Linked DNA regions of Nothobranchius furzeri. The protein of the gene in region 2 interacts with the protein of the main gene of each other region in a biochemical or structural test. Links are inferred from orthologs where the notes say so. Each region holds a gene or a part of one and is shown on either strand. Other genes may lie near its edges. The genes, in order: map3k7, ikbkb, tnfrsf1a and cops5.

The links.
Region 1: of the proteins of ikbkb (region 2) and map3k7, one has a biochemical effect on the other in vitro, tested with the Homo sapiens proteins (5 studies listed by BioGRID). The link is inferred for Nothobranchius furzeri from reciprocal best matches to the Homo sapiens genes IKBKB and MAP3K7.
Region 3: of the proteins of ikbkb (region 2) and tnfrsf1a, one has a biochemical effect on the other in vitro, tested with the Homo sapiens proteins (2 studies listed by BioGRID, with this or other methods). The link is inferred for Nothobranchius furzeri from reciprocal best matches to the Homo sapiens genes IKBKB and TNFRSF1A.
Region 4: of the proteins of ikbkb (region 2) and cops5, one has a biochemical effect on the other in vitro, tested with the Homo sapiens proteins (2 studies listed by BioGRID). The link is inferred for Nothobranchius furzeri from reciprocal best matches to the Homo sapiens genes IKBKB and COPS5.

What each region holds. Positions count from the first base shown.
Region 1 is NC_091743.1:91,294,253-91,298,808, reverse strand, and holds part of map3k7 (mitogen-activated protein kinase kinase kinase 7), read right to left. Parts: intron 3,796-4,556; coding exon 3,667-3,795; intron 2,883-3,666; coding exon 2,758-2,882; intron 1-2,757. UniProt on the Homo sapiens protein: Serine/threonine kinase which acts as an essential component of the MAP kinase signal transduction pathway. Plays an important role in the cascades of cellular responses evoked by changes in the environment.
Region 2 is NC_091757.1:55,668,284-55,673,621, forward strand, and holds the start of ikbkb (inhibitor of nuclear factor kappa-B kinase subunit beta), read right to left. Parts: upstream 3,435-5,338; 5' UTR 3,283-3,434; intron 2,409-3,282; 5' UTR 2,398-2,408; coding exon 2,293-2,397; intron 487-2,292; coding exon 392-486; intron 1-391.
Region 3 is NC_091745.1:73,830,397-73,835,504, forward strand, and holds the start of tnfrsf1a (tumor necrosis factor receptor superfamily member 1A), read left to right. Parts: upstream 1-1,741; 5' UTR 1,742-1,891; intron 1,892-5,108.
Region 4 is NC_091747.1:51,738,623-51,742,575, forward strand, and holds the end of cops5 (COP9 signalosome complex subunit 5), read right to left. Parts: intron 3,590-3,953; coding exon 3,461-3,589; intron 3,184-3,460; coding exon 3,118-3,183; intron 2,960-3,117; coding exon 2,874-2,959; intron 2,794-2,873; coding exon 2,682-2,793; intron 2,023-2,681; coding exon 1,874-2,022; intron 1,211-1,873; coding exon 1,120-1,210; 3' UTR 959-1,119; downstream 1-958. UniProt on the Homo sapiens protein: Probable protease subunit of the COP9 signalosome complex (CSN), a complex involved in various cellular and developmental processes.

The DNA.
Region 1 (4,556 bases), on a different chromosome or scaffold from region 2:
CTGGTGTAAATAATACACAACACTATTAATAACAGGTGTGGATGTAAACATTACTGACTGGTGTAAATAATACACAACACTATTAATAACAGGTGTGGATGTAAACATTACTGACTGGTGTAAATAATACACAACACTATTAATAACAGGTGTGGATGTAAACATTACTGACTGGTGTAAATAACACACAACACTATTAATAACAGGTGTGGATGTAAACATTACTGACTGGTGTAAATAACACACAACACTATTAATAACAGGTGTGGATGTAAACATTACTGACTGGTGTAAATAATACACAACACTATTAATAACAGGTGTGGATGTAAACATTACTGACTGGTGTAAATAACACACAACACTATTAATAACAGGTGTGGATGTAAACATTACTGACTGGTGTAAATAATACACAACACTATTAATAACAGGTGTGGATGTAAACATTACTGACTGGTGTAAATAACACACAACACTATTAATAACAGGTGTGGATGTAAACATTACTGACTGGTGTAAATAATACACAACACTATTAATAACAGGTCTGGATGTAAACATTACTGACTGGTGTAAATAACACACAACACTATTAATAACAGGTGTGGATGTAAACATTACTGACTGGTGTAAATAATACACAACACTATTAATAACAGGTGTGGATGTAAACATTACTGACTGGTGTAAATAATACACAACACTATTAATAACAGGTGTGGATGTAAACATTACTGACTGGTGTAAATAACACACAACACTATTAATAACAGGTGTGGATGTAAACATTACTGACTGGTGTAAATAATACACAACACTATTAATAACAGGTGTGGATGTAAACATTACTGACTGGTGTAAATAACACACAACACTATTAATAACAGGTGTGGATGTAAACATTACTGACTGGTGTAAATAACACACAACACTATTAATAACAGGTGTGGATGTAAACATTACTGACTGGTGTAAATAATACACAACACTATTAATAACAGGTGTGGATGTAAACATTACTGACTGGTGTAAATAATACACAACACTATTAATAACAGGTGTGGATTGGTTCGGTCGGAGGTCTAAAACTCCGCCCTGGGCCTGAAGCCCTGCAGATACATTTAGTTTCTATAAACAACAACAAATAAACAACAGCAGCTGGATTCTACTTTGTTCCTTAAGTTGAGTCACGTAGTTTTACACGTTCACCAGCAGCTCTGCCAGCTGATTGGCTCTTTAGTAACTAGTGACATCATACAGGTGTGGTACTGAGCTGCACGGATGCATCAGAGGATTTCGCTGTAGTTGGTGTTCTTTCCTATTCTCACTCTCTCTTTCTTTGCCTTTCTTAATCACAATAGTCTATTTTTGCTTATTTTAAACATGTTTTTTGATCATTTTTTGAAATCTTTTTTATATTTAAATGTTTTTTGTTTTTGTGAAGCGCCTCGTGGTTTCTATCTTTAGAGGCGCTATAGAAAATATCACTTTCTTTCAAAACGGATTAAAGATAGGACAGGATATATAATCAATACCATGAACATGTATAGATACGTTATCGTACAATCTCACCAGCCTGTAACTCTACTTTATTTCTCAAAATGCACCAGACTGATGTTTTTAAACATAAAATGTCCAACCCAGAACCCCCTAGACTAGTTTAATACTCATCATCTGTTTCATGTCTGCTCTTTGGTGCTGGTGCACTACTTTTGGTGGAATAAGAACTGGATTATAAATATATCAGAGAGATGTCAACAGCCACACTTTAGCTTGCTACGCCCCTGCATGCACGCATTCTCCTCCTCCTCCACCACGATGCTCTCGCAGAGGGAACGCAGCGGCGAAACAAAGCTCGCTAAAATACAAACATCCCCAAATAATTAGAAACCACAAATCTAAATGCAAAGTTTAAAGCGGAACATTGACCCAAAGGTTTCCTGATTGAGCAGATGTGTGTGAATTCATGTAAAGACAAGCTAGCAGCGTCTGCTAACTCTAGAAATTCACTGGTTGTATATTTATAGATATAAAAGTTACAGTCATCTTGTTTCTTGTTTGCAATTATATTAATATTTTAGATATCGTCTAGCCCTAGTTAGTTTCTTGTATTTTTCTGTATATCACCACTAAGAAGATAATATATCTTTAAAGAAGGTGAAGATTCTCGTTTTTCTATAGTGGTTTGTTAGCCAAGTGATGCGAGGACAGCACACGCTCACTACGCAGGGCAAATTTCTACTTCACAAGTTGTTCCAAATAAACTAAAACATCTCAAACACTTTACCTCATTTTGAAAGAGGCAAAGTAGCTGAAGATGCTGATGTATAATATGTGTGCATGTTATGTAAATGTGTCAATAAAAGCCTGAAAACTGATACAGATACGTTCTGATATCGACATCAGCTGATATTACAGGCTGACCGATAACATCGGCAGTTCTGATAAAAAAGTCACAACATTAATTCATGTTTTTAATCTAAGAAATCTGGGATTTTATCTACAATGAATCAATAACAAAGGCTCGTAAGAGCAGAGAGACGTTTTAATAAAAATATAACAAAGTGATGAAGAAATCTTTCATCCTACAGAAAACACATTTTCCCCACGAACCACTGCTTTGGTCTCTCAGTAACACACACACACACACACACACACACACACACACACACACACACACACACACACACACACACACACACACACACACACACACACACACACACACACACACACACACACAGAGTGACTCACCGTTGTGCACAGCCCACATAATGCGAAAAGCTGGCCCACCAATCTCATCAAAAGGTTTCCTGCGAGTGATGACCTCCCAGAGAATGATTCCCCAGCTGAACACGTCACACTTCTCGCTGTAATTGCTGCCTGTGTGTACAGAAGAACCCACACAAACACTCAGGACCTTCCCACTCCTCAAACGGGGAGAAACACCTCCGTCTGACACGGATGGCTGATGAAGGGAATTCTCTGTGGCACATTTGGGATGAGAATGAGAAATGTGCCTGGGAATGAGCAGCAGCTTTTATCTTCTCTTTGCTTCCAGGAGGGAGCAGGAGGAAAATTTGGGAGCAATTTGTCCAGAAGAACGGCTCTTGTATTTCTTAATTGCCGGGCCTCTGATGCAACATAAAAGTGCACAACACAAACCGATTTTAAAGTTGCTGTGCAAGGATGTTCTGACAGCTTTTCACGCTGATGCAAATTAGCTGCGAGGAGTTCACGGAGAGGGCAGGAGTAAGTTGTTTAATTGCACTGGAGTCGTGTATCATGCCTTCAAAAACAAAATAATGACTAGACATGAATTCATCTTTCCCCCCGACCCCCTTGCCAGGAACATGTTTCATCATTTAGCACTCCATTAGGCTGCTGGCTGAATGAGAACACGCATTTTAAACTGCAGCCTCCCAGGGGAAATAACAGCAGTAGCTTTAAACATTCATCTCCTCGCCACACTCTGGAGACAACCATCGATAAGACAGAGGAGCACCGAGGCTGACGACGGAGCAGCAATTAATGCGTCTGTGCTGAAGCTGTAGATGCAATTAATGTAGAAAAAGACTGAACCCCCCCGATCACTTAGAGAACTGATGGAAGTAAACAGAACCAACAAGAACACAAACCACCTAAATGAACGGCCACTGATACTTGCCTTCAAACACCTCGGGAGCCATCCACGCAGCACTTCCTTTGTTGTTGGTCATGTGGGTCTGGATGTCACACGCTGTCCCAAAGTCACAGATCTTCAGCACGGTGCCGCCCGCCACCAGGAGCAGGCTGCAGCAGCAACAAGAACATCACAACCAATAAACACCTTCACATTAGGCCAGAATCATCACCGTAGGTGGCCTCGGAGCAGCCTCTGGTCATGTGATCAGTGCTTTAACCCTTTATACTACAGCCAGTTTCTCTTGTTTAGCAACATGACCCCTGGATCAACCACAGGAAGCTCATCGGTCCTCAGGATGTAAACTATTTCTCCAAACAGAGGCTGGTCAAGAGGCGTTATGGTCACGTTTACACAGAAACACACCAGAGGATGTGGCTGAACTAACTGCATCGTTCGCCTTCGGCTCATGCACCGACAACGGGATGCAAAAGTTTGGGAAGCCTTCGTGACTTTCATGTGAAAATCGTTGGTTAGGATGAAAATTTCACTTACATATATCCCACAGGAGACGCACACACTGAGATTGAGAAGTGAAACAAAGTTCATAAGATTTACAGAAAGTGTGCAATAATTGTTTAAACTAAATTAGGCGGGAGCATACATAAAAAATACCACAAAAAATAAATCACCTCAATATTTAGCAGATCCTCCTTTTGCAGAAAAAACTGCTTCTAAACCGGGAGTCTCCAACACGTCGCTCGCTCCGCACTGGAAAGTCGCCAATGAGCCCTGCTGCCTGACTTGTACTTAACGAGGGGCAGCTTTTAGGTTTGATGGCAAACCTTCCAGTTTTCTGTAATATCTCATCTAAAATCAGCTTTTTGTGGAAGTAAAATAAAAGTCTGATTATTGCAAATGTGCTGTACTG
Region 2 (5,338 bases):
CATCGCAGCTGCAGCAGAATAAATTTAAACTTGGAGTAAAATCGCTTTACGACTGAACTTCCTGACAGAATCTGACGGGTCCGAGGATTTTCTGTTAGATGGATCAGAGTTTTTCGTTTTACACCCACAGTATAACAGATGTATTCTAATAGAAAAGCACGGGCATCAATGTTAGGCTCTAGGAGTGGAGAATCCACATTTGTTGTTTTTTATTCCTGTCCTGAAACGTGTTCATAAATAGCCCGTACAGCTGAGGTGAAATAGTTGGTGAGATTTGCAAGTAAACAACACAAACACAGACTTTATTGGCTGAAAGCAGAAACTAGGGATAAAAGCTTAGGAGAGGAAAAACAACAACCCTCCATTCATTTAATGCAGCGGTGAAACTGACCTGTTCATGATCTGGATCTCCAGACACCATCGCTCTTTGTTTCTGTCACTCAGCTCCTGACGACACTGCTTTATAGCGATCTGCTCCTCTGTGTCCTAAAAAGTAAGTAAGTTAGTAAAGTTTATTTATATAGCGCCTCTCACAGATATAAATCACAAAGCGCTGTACAACATGAGTAAAATCAGGGCAAATACCTCAAACCAATAAAAACATCATAAAAACAATAGCAGTGATAACAATAGTAACCAAAATCAGGAAAACACACAAAGTCCAGCATTTACATTCATACTGTGGAATGAACTTTTTTTTAATGTTGGTAAATTATTTAACTTCACCTTGGAACAAATCAATGGGAAAAAAAAGTCAAACGGGCATTCTCTATCCTGGTTAATAACAAAATGTCAGGTTTAAATTTAAACTACCAGCTAACGTTCTAGGGTACCTCTTAGCCAATAGCGGTGGCAGATTTAAATTCAAATGCAGTGCAGTTTTGACCTGACAACGGCACAACACTGACAGTTTTAGGCAGAAAATTTAAATTTTAACTAAAATGCACTAAAGTTCTAAACTATTGATGACACGTGTCTGCAGCACGATTAGACAAGCATTTATATAGTTTATCAGAAAAAAAAGTTGATTTGGGGGTGACTTGCTCTTTAAAGTGCTTTACGGAAGCAAGAACAGCAAACAAACAGTAAATCAAACAAAGAAATGTAGACGTTAATTTTCAGATTCAACAAATCGATAAAAGGCAAAGTCAAAAAGGTTAGCAGTTAACAGTCCAGAGAACAGAAAAAAAATATCCTCTCTCTAAAAAAAGACAAAGCCCGCAACCTGTTTCTCATCAAGGAAACGGCACCACCCCTCTTTCCTCTCTTGATGAAATCCCAAACCACCCTGACCTAATTGTAACCCACAGCATTGTCATAAACGCAGGAAGAAGGAAGTTAATTCATGTCAGCCGTGGTGCCAGGGCGTCTTCATCAGTAAAGCATTTTCCCCATCCCCTCCTAAAATCCAGACTGCAGCGGTGCAGAAGAGGACCACAAAATCCTTAACACAGTTTCAATGATTACTATGTTGTGTTGATGTGAACTGATTATAATATTTTTTTAAATGTGCATGAAAATTTTGTTTTTACAAAAAAGTAAATGATGAGTTCCTCATCCTGTGTTACATCCAGACTAGGCTGCTGCCTGCATGGCTCTGAGGTCGTCCCGAAAGTGAGGGTGAGTAATACGAGTGCAGCTGCGAGGAAGAGGAACTAACAGGGAGTGTTTATATTCCCGTACTGTCCTTTCACCTTGTCATGCTGTGACTTAATCAGACATCATGAATTTCCTTGTATGATGTATTTATTTCTCAGGTAAAAAAAACCCAAAAGCACAAACTAGGTCAACATCATCTTAGAGCACGTTTGTGTACACACCATGTCTTCTCTTGCAAACAAATCCTGCTCAGAAACATCAATAAATCTCCACTTATAATACCATAAGTTAGCAGTGTTGAGAGTCTTGCTGCAATACTGCAGGCAGAAATCTAAAATAACAAGTTTTTAGCATAATTTTAGCATAAATAAACAAACACTCGAGATTTATGACACCGACCTCATTTTGTTAGACAAGAAAAAGTAACGAAAGAGTTTTAACATTATCCAGTAAAGAGATGCTGAAGCATAATCAAAGACATTTATTTGTCTGGAATTTTAGAAAACTGTATGTTTTAAAGATAAAGACACATTAGGCTTTTTAAATTTGAAATAATATCAAAAAAGTGATTCTTTGTCATGCTTTTCTAAAGAAAATCCAAGTTTAACCATCCATTTTCAAGATAAATAACCCTTGTTGATTTTTTCCCCCCATAACAAAAGTTATTTTCATCAAGATTTTTTTAAATTGCACCTTATTTTGCCATCTGGTGACATTCCCAAAGCCTCCTGTGCCAAGTCTCTCTTTCAGCTCCCAAGGCCCACAGTTTTGAGGCTGCTGCAGAGGGACTCGATTCATGGTCTCCTCACCTGCAAATAAATAAATAAACAAATAAATTAATTAAGTAGAACTCTCTTAGAGCTCATTATCAGAGGTTAGCCCTGAGAAAATGCCCTGAAGTAATCTCAGTCACCCATTACGCAGTAAATGAATTATTAAATGTACAGAATGATGTTGAATTGGCAATGCACAGAATATTCCAAGAATTACCCTAAAATTAACAGATTACCAGTGGAGTCAGGCTCAAATGGGTGAAATAGGTCCAGGTAAGTGGGAGGAAGTAGAGAGAAAAGCAAGGGAGCCTAGAACTGAACCCTGTGGGACTCCATGAGAAGAGCAGATGTCACAAGTAGGACCTGACCGTCTCTATGCTGTTATAAGTTTCTATATTTGTTATAAAGCAATTTTAAATGGAAGTCTAAATATAATCTGTTCTTAGACTAAAAATAAAATGATTTGAGTAAGTACTTCTGAAAGTTGCATGTAAGTAAAACGGATGTTTTGAGGACTAATAACCACGTGTTAGAGATAGGAAATAATCAATTTTGTTTCGTTTTTATAAAAGCAGGTTTTCCACAGCGACACTTAAATGTACGTAAACTCTACAAGTTGGTGTTAAATGTTTCTCAAGCTGCAGTTAAACCCGCAGATTTAATGTAAGCGTCTAGTTTTATGAGAAAACAGCGTTTTGTTTGTGTTGCAGCGTTTTAATGAGGTCTGCTGTTGCATTAAAGGACTTTTCAGACTTTAAGCTTTACTCTGCACATTGACCCGTTTCTCTGCTTGGCAACAGAATAAAACTAAACTAGGTTTTCTCTTTTGAGATACTTGTTATTACGACCTACTACAACATGTTTGCGGTTCATGTTCAGGCACGTGAGCATCAGTCCGCTTCGGTCTTACCTTGAAACGTCTTTAACCGCGTTTAAGTCGCTCTCACGCTTGATTTTCTTTAAACAAAAGCGTGTATGGAGCTTTTAACCGAGTTAAACTGCTTTGTCTGCTTATTTAGGCGAGACAACACATCTCCCAGGCTGTCCACTTCCTGATACTCATATTTCCTGTTAACCTGATGAGACATAAACCCCGCCCACCGCGCGGGCTGACTTCTCGGGTCAAATCTTCAAATCCAGCTCACAGACTTCAAACTGATAGATGAGGGTAGGGAATGTTTGATAGTAGCCTTTCAGTTTGCGCCAGTCAGTGTTTTGGAGGTCACAACATGAAAATCCACGCGTTTACAAACTTTTTTACATTTTTAAATAATTTTCTTGTGCGCTAAAATGACCCTTTTTACAGGATTAATGAAATAACGCCCCCTGTGGCCAGAATATCGCACTAACAACTTCACAGTTGCCGGTTAACAGGTGTTACACAGTTATTATAACGGTACACATATCGGTCTGTTGGACTTGGAAAACATTGAGCTCACATACCTGACGCTGCTGTCCGGCTCCAGCACGTTTCCTGCACGTTTTAGATCATGAACACAGCTGGTAAGTTTTATTTTGTGATGCATCACTCCTGGAGACACTAAAGATTGGGAGACGTTTCAGCTGTTTCAGTGTTAAAGACAAATGCACAGCGGGATTTTGGTTTCGGTTCTTTTTTTTTGTTTCCTCGTGTCCTGTCTGGCTGTGAAGCAAACAGAATTAATGTCTGAATGCTGGTGACAAGCCTTAAAAAATCAACTAATCAATGATGAACAAGAGTCTGCTTCTACACCTGCAGAAGGAGAGAAAAAGAAAAGGGGCACAACAACAATACAACAGGAGCAAGCTATCACTGTGTCAACCTGATGAGGAAATATAAAATCAACATTGTTTTACTGAACAAATGATAATAAATCACAGTGCATTAAGTGCCAACCACAGCCTTAAGACAAGTGTTGAACGTGCCCAAGTCCATGCTTTAGAGAGCACCATGTGAGCACCTAGTGTACATGCGCTTGTTTATGTAAGGTTTCTCTATAGGAGCGTCCAGTAGAGAGTGTGAGGGGCCACAGATCTGCCCCCAAAAGATGTGTAGGAGATGGAAGGAGCTCCAAGTCTCAGAGATCCAGGAGCTGCCCCAGAGCGCAGGGAACCCAGGGAGACTGCAACCAGAAAATCCCCTGCCCCCCCTCAAGAGCCGCAGAAGATCACTCTGGGGGGCTACAACCAGCAGCCGGCAGAGTCCCGGGGGATATCAGCGGCAAGCCCACAGGCCCGCCCACAGCCTCCCACCCCCAAGCCGGACGAGCCTGGAACCCAGCGACTTGGGACCCAGGGGCGACCACCCCCGCTGGGGACCTAACAGAGCCCAGGGACTCAGATCCCGCAGGCAGCCACAGAGATTAATCAGGCAGATGCCAAAAATCAATCATGCAGACCAAGGCACCACACCCCACACCAAGTGTGACAGGGGGAGGGGAGGCGAAGATGTATAGCAGCAAAAGAAGTCCCTGGAGAGGGGAGGAGTCAAAGGCCCCACCTGACATATACAGTCATACACAAACACAGTCACACACTCCCTCCCTCATGCTCACACATACACATACAACCAAAGACTTACAAAAATGCACGCCGGACACCCACTCATGCTCCCCATACACACCCTATTCACTCTGGTCCCGGTACTGCTGCACATTGGGTACAACCATCACCGGTTCCCAGAGTTCAACCCTTTCTGCTGGGGTGCTGATGAGCAGATCCCCGCCCAACGCCGAGCAAAGCGACCCACCACCCCAGACCCCAGCCAGTCGGCCAGATCCCCCTCCTAGCCTCCAGCCCCGGGAAGCCAAGTGACAACAGAGGCGTGCTAAGACCCCAAGTCTCCTTCCCCCTGCTCCAATACAGTGATGGTGCATGTTGATGAGGTGTATTCGTGGCTGTGGTGAGCGGGCAGTGCAGGCATCATCTGGCCTATGCCAGCTGATACCACCACACCATGCCTCTTTCCCCCACAGTCCTCTGTGTCT
Region 3 (5,108 bases), on a different chromosome or scaffold from region 2:
GTCAATAAATGAAAATAAAAGATTGAAAAAAAAGTGTGTGTGTGTATATATATATATATATATATATATATATATATATATATATATATATATATATACACATACATATATATATATGTATGTATGTATGTATGTATATATATGTGTATGTTTATATATATATATATATATATATATACACACATACATATATATATGTATGTATGTATGTATATATATATGTGTATGTTTATATTATATATATATATATGTATATAATATATACATACATACATACATACATATATATATGTATGTGTGTATATATATATATATATATATATATATATATATATATATATATATATATATACACATACATATATATACACATACATATACATATATATATGTATGTATGTATGTATATATATGTGTATGTTTATATTTTGTATACATATATATATATATATATATATATATATATATATATATATATATATATATATATATATATATATATATATATATATATATATACATATATATATATACATACATATATATGTATATATGTGTATATATACACGTATATATATTATATTTCCTTCACAGCTGTAACACTTTATTGATACATAAAGAACGAGTTTGCTCAGTTGCAGTACACAACGTTGCCACAAGATGACCCACTAAATCCATTTATATTGACCTTTAATCATTCAGTGTTGATCTTACAAATAAAATGCATTGAAACTGCGATTTTTGTTTGTTTCTTCAGATTTTTATTTTGCTCGAAGAAGAAAAGATTTGAATTCATTTTAGGTTCAGAGATCCACTTTGTGGCACATTTAGAAAAATACAAATGCAATATATTGTGTTAGTAAAAGTGCTAAGCAGGTCTTTTTGGTTGATTTTATTTCCAAAAAGTAAAGATAAATCATTCAGGGGTGACCGAAAGAATGAGATCACAGGTACAAGTTGCTGAAATGAGTTTTCTCCGCATGGTGGCTGCCTGGCTGGGCTCTCCCTTAGAGATAGGGTGAGAACCTCGGTCATCTGGGAGGGGCTCGGAGTAGACCTGCTGCTCCTCCACATTGAGAGGAGTCAGTTCAGGCGGCTCGGGCATCTAGTTCCTTGGTGAGGTTTTCTGAGCACGTCCAACCGAGAGGAGACCTAAGGGAAGACCCAGGACACGCTGGAGGGACTATGTCTCTCAGCTGGTCAGGGAACGCCTTGGGATTCCCCCGGAGGAGCTGGCCCAAGGGGAAAGGGAAGTTTGAACCATGCACCCTGTTTAGGCTGCTGCTCCCACAGCCTGACCCTGAAAAGCTGCTGAAAATGAATGGATGGATGGGAAGATAAATCATTTTTAGGAAAGGTTTGTAAAGCCACTGCATTTAGATCTATAAAAGAAAGAAAAAGATTAAGATCAGCAGCATGAATTTGGAGTTGCATAATGCAGCTTGAGGGCATTTCACTGAAGAGGTCAGATCTCAGCAGAGGGTAGAAAATAAAGTTGTCAATATAAAGATGGACAGAAGAAGGCAGAATTACAGGATTTCAGTTTTTCCACATTAAAGATCATAAAATGCCACAAATACAAAAAAAAAACCATCAAACAATAAAACACTTCACTATAAACGAGTCTCCAGCCTGCAGCCTATTGCTCATTTAAACAGGTTGGTTTTCTTCAGGTTCCTTGCCCAACTGCCACTATTCCTTGAAACGCGTCGGTGACGCATCTATTTCCCGTTTGAGTCCGCCTTCTTCTATCCAGGCAGCGGCTGCGGCGCCGACAGCGCGCTGGCTCTCCGGGAACACAAATAAAGCACTATTTTAAATCCTACAGCTTCTAGCCGATGTTCGGAGCGAGAAGACAGGTGAAAGCGTCCCTGTGAGCGCAGCTGTTCAGGTAAATAACTGTAAAACACGCGCGTAGGTCTGTGGGAAGAGCAGACTCATCTCAGACCGGGGGGGTGGGGGGAGGCATATGTGGTGCCGAACCGAAACTATGAGTTCAGAAAGAAAAACAATGTCTTGAGCAGATTTAGATTCGACTAATAATTTAGTTTGTTTATTCGTCCGCAGGAGAGATTTGAGTCTCGGGGATTTTAAAGTGAAACGTCAGCCTGGATCAGGGGTTTAGTTCCAGCGCGACAGGGAAGTGAAGTTTGCCAAAGTGGCGCAGAAAAATGTGACTGACGCAAAAAAAAATAATCGCAAACGTTTTAGCAAATGCGTTTAAATGATGCATCTTAATGCCTCCTGTGTAGTTAGGGGAATAAATCCAGTTTGTTTGTTACATTATTTTTGTTTTATCTGATAAGCCTCTTAGGGGAAAACAAATCTCACCTCAACCGGATGTTTCCGGAAACTGAACCATAAATAATTAAATAAAAGAATTAGAGGGGAAAATGACAATAAACTCAACAAAAATGATCACATTTTTCATTATTTTTTATTTCTATAAAGTCACGTTGTTTGTGAACGGATGGTGTCACTTGAGTAACATCTTTTGTCAGAATATTTGACATCATGCATGCAAATACACGTTTAAATAGTGATTTTAACTGATTGTAGCTCTTAAGCACTCCCTTTGCTTTCACTTGTAACTGTAAATGCTTGCTTGAATGTTCTTATTTCTGTTTTTATCTCTGTGCAGTGACCTTGGGTTTTAGGCACCCTAGAATAACATTTATTATTATTATGTTAAACCCAGAATGAGTCGATGATATCACCTGATTTGCTTCAAAACAGGAAAATGGTTTCGTGTGTATTTAATATTCAAATAAAATCCTTAGTAACCGAGAACCTCCTCTTTTGATATAATCGAGGTGGTAAACTGGGTGCTATTCTTTTGAATGTCCAGTTTGGCTTTGTCTCAGAGCCAAAGTACATTCATTACATTCCAGCACAGTTTGTGTTCAATCAAACGTCCAGTGAGCAGGTCAGAGGTCAGCAGCAACAGGTTAAACTGATAAAACCAAAACTAGAATCATAGATAACTTTAAAGTCAAACCCTAAAGCCTTTTTGTAAAAGAAAACCCCCAAACTAGTCACAGTTATTAGGTACGCCTTACTAGTAAACGGGTTGGGCCTCATTTTGCCTTCAGAACCTTCTTAAATGTTCATGTCAGAGATTGAATTTTTGGAAAGATCCCTCAGAGGTTCTGGTCCATATTATCGTGACATCGTCACAAAGTTAGATCCTCCTGTTCTCCCACATCCTGAAGGTTCTGGACTGGAGTGAGATCAGGTGACTGCAGAGGCCGTCAGAGTCCAGTGAACTCGGTCAGAGGTGATCTAAGCTTGCTGACATGGTGCATTATCCTGCTGGTAGTAGACATCAGAAAATGGGTCCATGTAATAAAAGATGGACAGCAACAATACTCAATTGGTGCTAATAAGTTGGACAAGAACATCTCCACATGATTACACCAGCAGCAGATGGATCCATGTTTTTATGATGACACCAAATTCTGACCCTAGCATCTGAATGTTGCAGCAGACATCCAGACTCATCAGACTTGGGGAAACATTTTTCCCGTCTCCTATCGTTGAATAGATCCTGTGATATGTGTAGCTACAGTTTCCTGTTTTTACCTGACAGGTGTGACACCCGCTGTGGTTCAAGGTTCAACATGTTGTTTACTGACCTTTGTTGAAACTAGTGACCATTTGATCTTCTTTGATAACCTCAAACCAGTCTGCCCTTCCCCTTTGACCTCTGACATCAATGAGACTTGTTCAACCACACAGCTGCTGCTCACTGGGATTATCTGTTTTTTAGGGCTAGGGGTAAACGGTTATTTTTAAAACGATTATTCTGACGATTATTTTATCGAATAGTCAACTATTCTAATGACTATTTAGACAATTAATCTAATGATTAAATTTCTATTGCACAGTTAATAAAAACAAAAAAAATCTAATAAATTCCTCAAAAAATTGATAAGTTGTTACTGTAAGAGAATAAACACTACAGGCCTTCCATTTTGTATAACACTGCTTTTATTGTGTTGCGATTGGTTGTGTTCTGGTGACGTGTAGAACGTGGGAGTGCAGGCTGCTGCCTGAGAGGTGGTTGGAGATGGAGTGTCTCCATGCTGCTTTGTTTTGGTCACTTATGTGCGTGAGGCGAGTGGTGTTACAACCCTTCCTGGGGAGTTTGGCTTGTGTGCAAAAAGGAAGGGACAATAACACGGGATTTAAAAGTTAAAATGATGATCAGATTTATTTACAACTACAAAAAAAAAACATAAATCTTTCCATCCACCGGTTGGGAATAATAAAACTTAATTCTGCCTGTGGGGGATTAAAACAAAGTACAAATAAGTAGGGATGTCCCACTGGGCAAAGATTACTGGGTTCTGGACCAAAATAAGAATCTCCAAAGGTCCAAACTCTAAACTGGGCGGTTAAACCAAACTCGAGGTGATATTTTAAACTAAACCGAAAACCCACAACACTCTAAATGGAATAAAAGGGAGATCTGCACCACAAAAAAGATGAACTCTAAACCAAAACGTAACAGCTTATCCAAACGCAAGAAGCTGTTAGCGAAAGTGCTAACAGTAGCTTTACCAACGTTAAGTTCAAGTTACCAAGTTTAAATAAACCAAAAACACCCAGCAGCAAACAGACCAGCACGGAGGAGAGACTGCTACCACAAAAACAGCTCTCCTAATGTCTGAAAGAAGCTCCTTTATGAAGGGAGAAACGCTCCCGGTGATTTTCTACATCTGCGATAGAGACGAAGCAGCGCATCTGACCCCGGAAGTTGTTGTCCGTTGCCGGGAGACGAAGGCGGGCAAAACAGGAAAGGAATACGTTGTTCCGGGTCTTCTGTATTTGGTGGAGATGTTAGTGAAGGCGGAGAAGAGGGCGAACTGGAGGAAAAACAGGCAGATTCCACCTCTATTTACAAACTCCTGGGGATGCAACAAGTGGGCGTGGTGCGTCGACTACCGGATCTGACGTCGACAAATTTTTAGAATCGAGACATCTACATCATCGAGGCTTCGCTACAGCCCTACTGTTTTTCTCCTAGAAATGGTTGTGGGGGGAAATCCATGTAGACCAGCAGAATCATGAAAACAAGGGACCACATTTCTCCAGTGCTGGATTCT
Region 4 (3,953 bases), on a different chromosome or scaffold from region 2:
CAAAACTCCATCTGGTGATAATCAAATTTCCATATTTAACAAGTTCAATGTGTTCCAACAAATGTAAAATCCCCATGAAACACTTAAACATTAAGCAAATCTTTCAGCTGTGCATGTTTCACATAGTTATTCAAAAGGGTGACTCTCTGCCATGAAATTACTTTAGATATCTGGCAAAAACACAAGCTTTTCACTAGATTGCCTTTAAAACTATTTCTATATTTAAATTATTTCTCACTTCTGCAGAATTAAATTGAAACCGCTCCATTTTTACGACATTTCCTATAATGGTAGAAGAAAATCATTATAAGAATTGGTGCCAAAGGCCCATGTGCGTGAGAAAACACAGGCATGTAACCGGTCCCACAGGGATTCTCTACTCTGCAGGACATGACACCAAAAATATACGTTTAGCCATTACAATACCAAAAAAACAAGACATGACACAAAGCCAGACCAGAGCAGCTGTCAGTTAGAATAAAAGGCAGACTCGGTGAGTGTCTGCTTCGATGGAGAGCAGACACGTTGGGTGAATGGACTTCTGTGTCTGAGGCTTCTGTCTCTGTGCTGCATCACAGCCTCGCAGCAACCTGCCTCCCCAACCACTCTGCCAGCACGCCGCCCGCCGAGCTGCACGGGAAAGTGACGCCAGCGACAACCCACTCATGGCAGCAGATTCCCGCTGAGCCTGTGCAGGAGGTTGAGTTTGTTGTTCCACTATGTAATGCTATGACAAGCAATGATCGCCTGCAGCAGGGCTAGGACATAAATGTGACCACAGTGTGTTATTTAAATGTTCAGCTGCAGAGAAATGTGAGGAAAAATAACTGTTCAAAGGCAAAATCTTATAAAGAAACAATAATAAAATCCATCTAATTCATTTTGGATAGTGAGCTGAGCCTGCAACAACAAAAAAAAACATATGAACAAATAAAAATTATGAATCACTGACACAATCTGCACTTAATATTTTATTTTTTGCTTGCATTGTCGCGATCTTGGCCACTTCTCGGACAAACAAAAATCACTTCAAAGAGAAATGGTGCAGAGTTAAACAGTGGATGCATGCACAGTAAAGACATCCCATGTAAAACTAACACATTGGCTCCGGGTGGAGCTTTAATTGGAGGAAGTGTTGATCTGATTAAAGAGCTTATCCTTTATGACTTGAGACATCAGACCGTGAATCGCCTCTATGGTCGTCTTGCAGCTAAAAAGAAACAGAAAAACAAAAAATTAGTGCGACACAGAGATAAAACATCTCTGCTGGTGTTAGAAAACATTATAAAGACAAAACAGAGCTTCAGTAAAGTTTGTTTTGAATTTTAAAGTCTGAATTTTTCTCCTGATATTTTGTTGATAATTAATTCTGTGGAAAAAAGCAAAGAAACAAATTTTTGACACAAAAATAAAGAAAGGTACATTAGACAATAATACAGTTCTAATGAAAAATCTGAATTATGTGCTTAATTTAATTAAGTGTCAAATGCATATTTTTAATCTGAGTATGGCCCAATATAAATAAAAAACCATTTGCTTCAAAAACTGATTTTTGTCTAGAATTAGAAAAAATTGAACTGTTGATTTAATCAGAATTGTGACTTAAATGGTTCATAAATAATAGATAATATTAATAAGCCTAAAAAGGGCTTTAATTAAAATCTGAAAGTTTACAAAAGTAAATAACAGATTTTATGTCATTCTGTGAAAAAGACTTCAGTGGACTAATGCCAGAAGTCACAGTTAAAATAATAAAATCAATCAATGTGATCCTATGAACCACGAACCTTGAAGAGCCCATGTAAATGATCCATGTGATGACAAAATAAACTAGTTAACATTTGATTTGAACTGTCTAGCCCTATCCAGCTACCTGTCTCGTGTCGCTTTGGCCAGTTTGTCCTCGGACTTCCTGTCGTGTGTGTCTAAGCCGAGCATGAAGCTGCCTCTGCCAAGCTGGGCCTCGGACTGCTCCAGCTTCTCCGACAGGTCAAACACCTGGCCTGTGGTGTAGTCCGAGTTCTGATCATCACACACACACGCGCGCGCACGCACGCACACATGCGCACACACACACACACACACACACACACACACACACACACACACACACACACACAGAAACCAATTCATGCACAATTTGCCAGCAAAAGATTTTTCTACATAGGATTTTTTTTTTTTTTGCAGGAGGCTAACAAATCTGTCCGACAGGCTGCTGGGACACTTTGGTGGTGAATGACTGAAATGTTGACTTAAGGTGAGGCTGCGTTTAATAGTGACACGGGGACCTTGCAGGGTGACTATAGCTCCTGACAAAGCCTGTCGCCCGTGGAGCAGCTCGTTCCTGACATCTAGTCAATTCATCCTCACCCAGAATCCCCCAAAACTCACCGTTTGTTCAAGCCTGACATATTTATTCCCGTTCAGGACAGAGCCACCATGCAAATTCACATCAGTCTCGGGAGAGCGCCTAACTTTCCTACTCATCTTCGTTACAAAAGTCCACATTAAGCTTATTACTAACACTAATAAACAAGGAGGCTTAGCTATTCTGCAGCAATAAATCACAACATCTCAAGCTGCTGAGCGCATGTCTGAATGAGTTATAGTGTAATAATTAACCATAAATCAAAATGCCAAACAATTAGTGCACATTTTGATTTTTGAGCTTGTTTACATACCGTCAGGAGGCTGGAGGAACTTAAGGTATTAACCCAGTATTTGTTCCAGAGGAGCTCCAGGAGTTTTCTGTCAAGGGATGACTTAAAGTAGGTTACCTCCAAGGCGTAATACCTACAAAAGAAATAAATAATAAGGAGTTTCACAAAGTTAAAGTGACCTTAATGCAATGATTTTATTCTACAGCTCCTCACTGTTTACAGTGGACGCCAAAATCTTCAATCTTGTTCAGAGGAATTGTCTGGTACTCTGACGGTCCCTCGTCTGGAGGCTTGTAACCCTGAAAGTGAAGAGAAAAGACTTTTTAAATTAAAAACCAAAGTGAACAGATTTAAATTTAAAACGATTAGCATTAATTGAAACTTATTGTAACAGCACACCCGTGTTTTGTGTCCCAAAAACGTTAAACACATAATTTGCCCGACTCTTTTCCTCTACCTTTGGGTATGTTCTAAAGGCACCGAGGTTGACTTTCCCTGCGGAAATAGTCCGGGTTGGGTCGATCTGTGGAGAGAGAGATACAGTAGAGCAGGAAAACAGGGTCAGAGGTCACGAAAGCCTCCGGGGACCACTCAAACCTGACCACCGGAGCTGTCACAGCACAGAACACACACACTTAATTATGTGATGCCGCTGGCAGCCAAGAGCCGCTGCACCAAATGAAGTGTCCATGTTTGCATCAACACAACACAGAAAGCTACAACTCATACATCTTCTCAGTGACATAAACATTCATGTTTATTTGTTTGAAGAAACAAAAAAGTGGCGTTTCCTGCCTCACCACAACTGCAACAAAAGGTTCCTGAAACTGCTGGTTGAGCATCTGAGTGCTGACGTCTATGCCGGAGAGCCAGCATCCGTAGCCGGGGTGACTGTGGTACCAGCCAATGGCGTTCTCCAACCGACCAACCTACCAGATGAGACCGATGGTACAGATTTAATACGACACAAACATTTTTATAAAAGGACTGCTTCCCTACTAGTTAATATAATACTCCAAACTGTTTCAAACTGAAGATTATTTCTAGAGAAACAACAGATTTATCCTAAAAAACGGTTCAAAACGATGGAAAAAGGGAAAAATAAATCATTTATCACACCCTAGTGGAGTAGTAGAAACAGTTGATGCACACGTTTTGTTTTATTACTCCAGCATGAAATTCACCACGGCAAAAACACAGAGCAATTCAGCACCCAGCTCCAACTCCAACACAATGCATTTGTAATGTGCATCGTAGAGCTTCTGTACAATTGCACTCACACTCATAATTAAC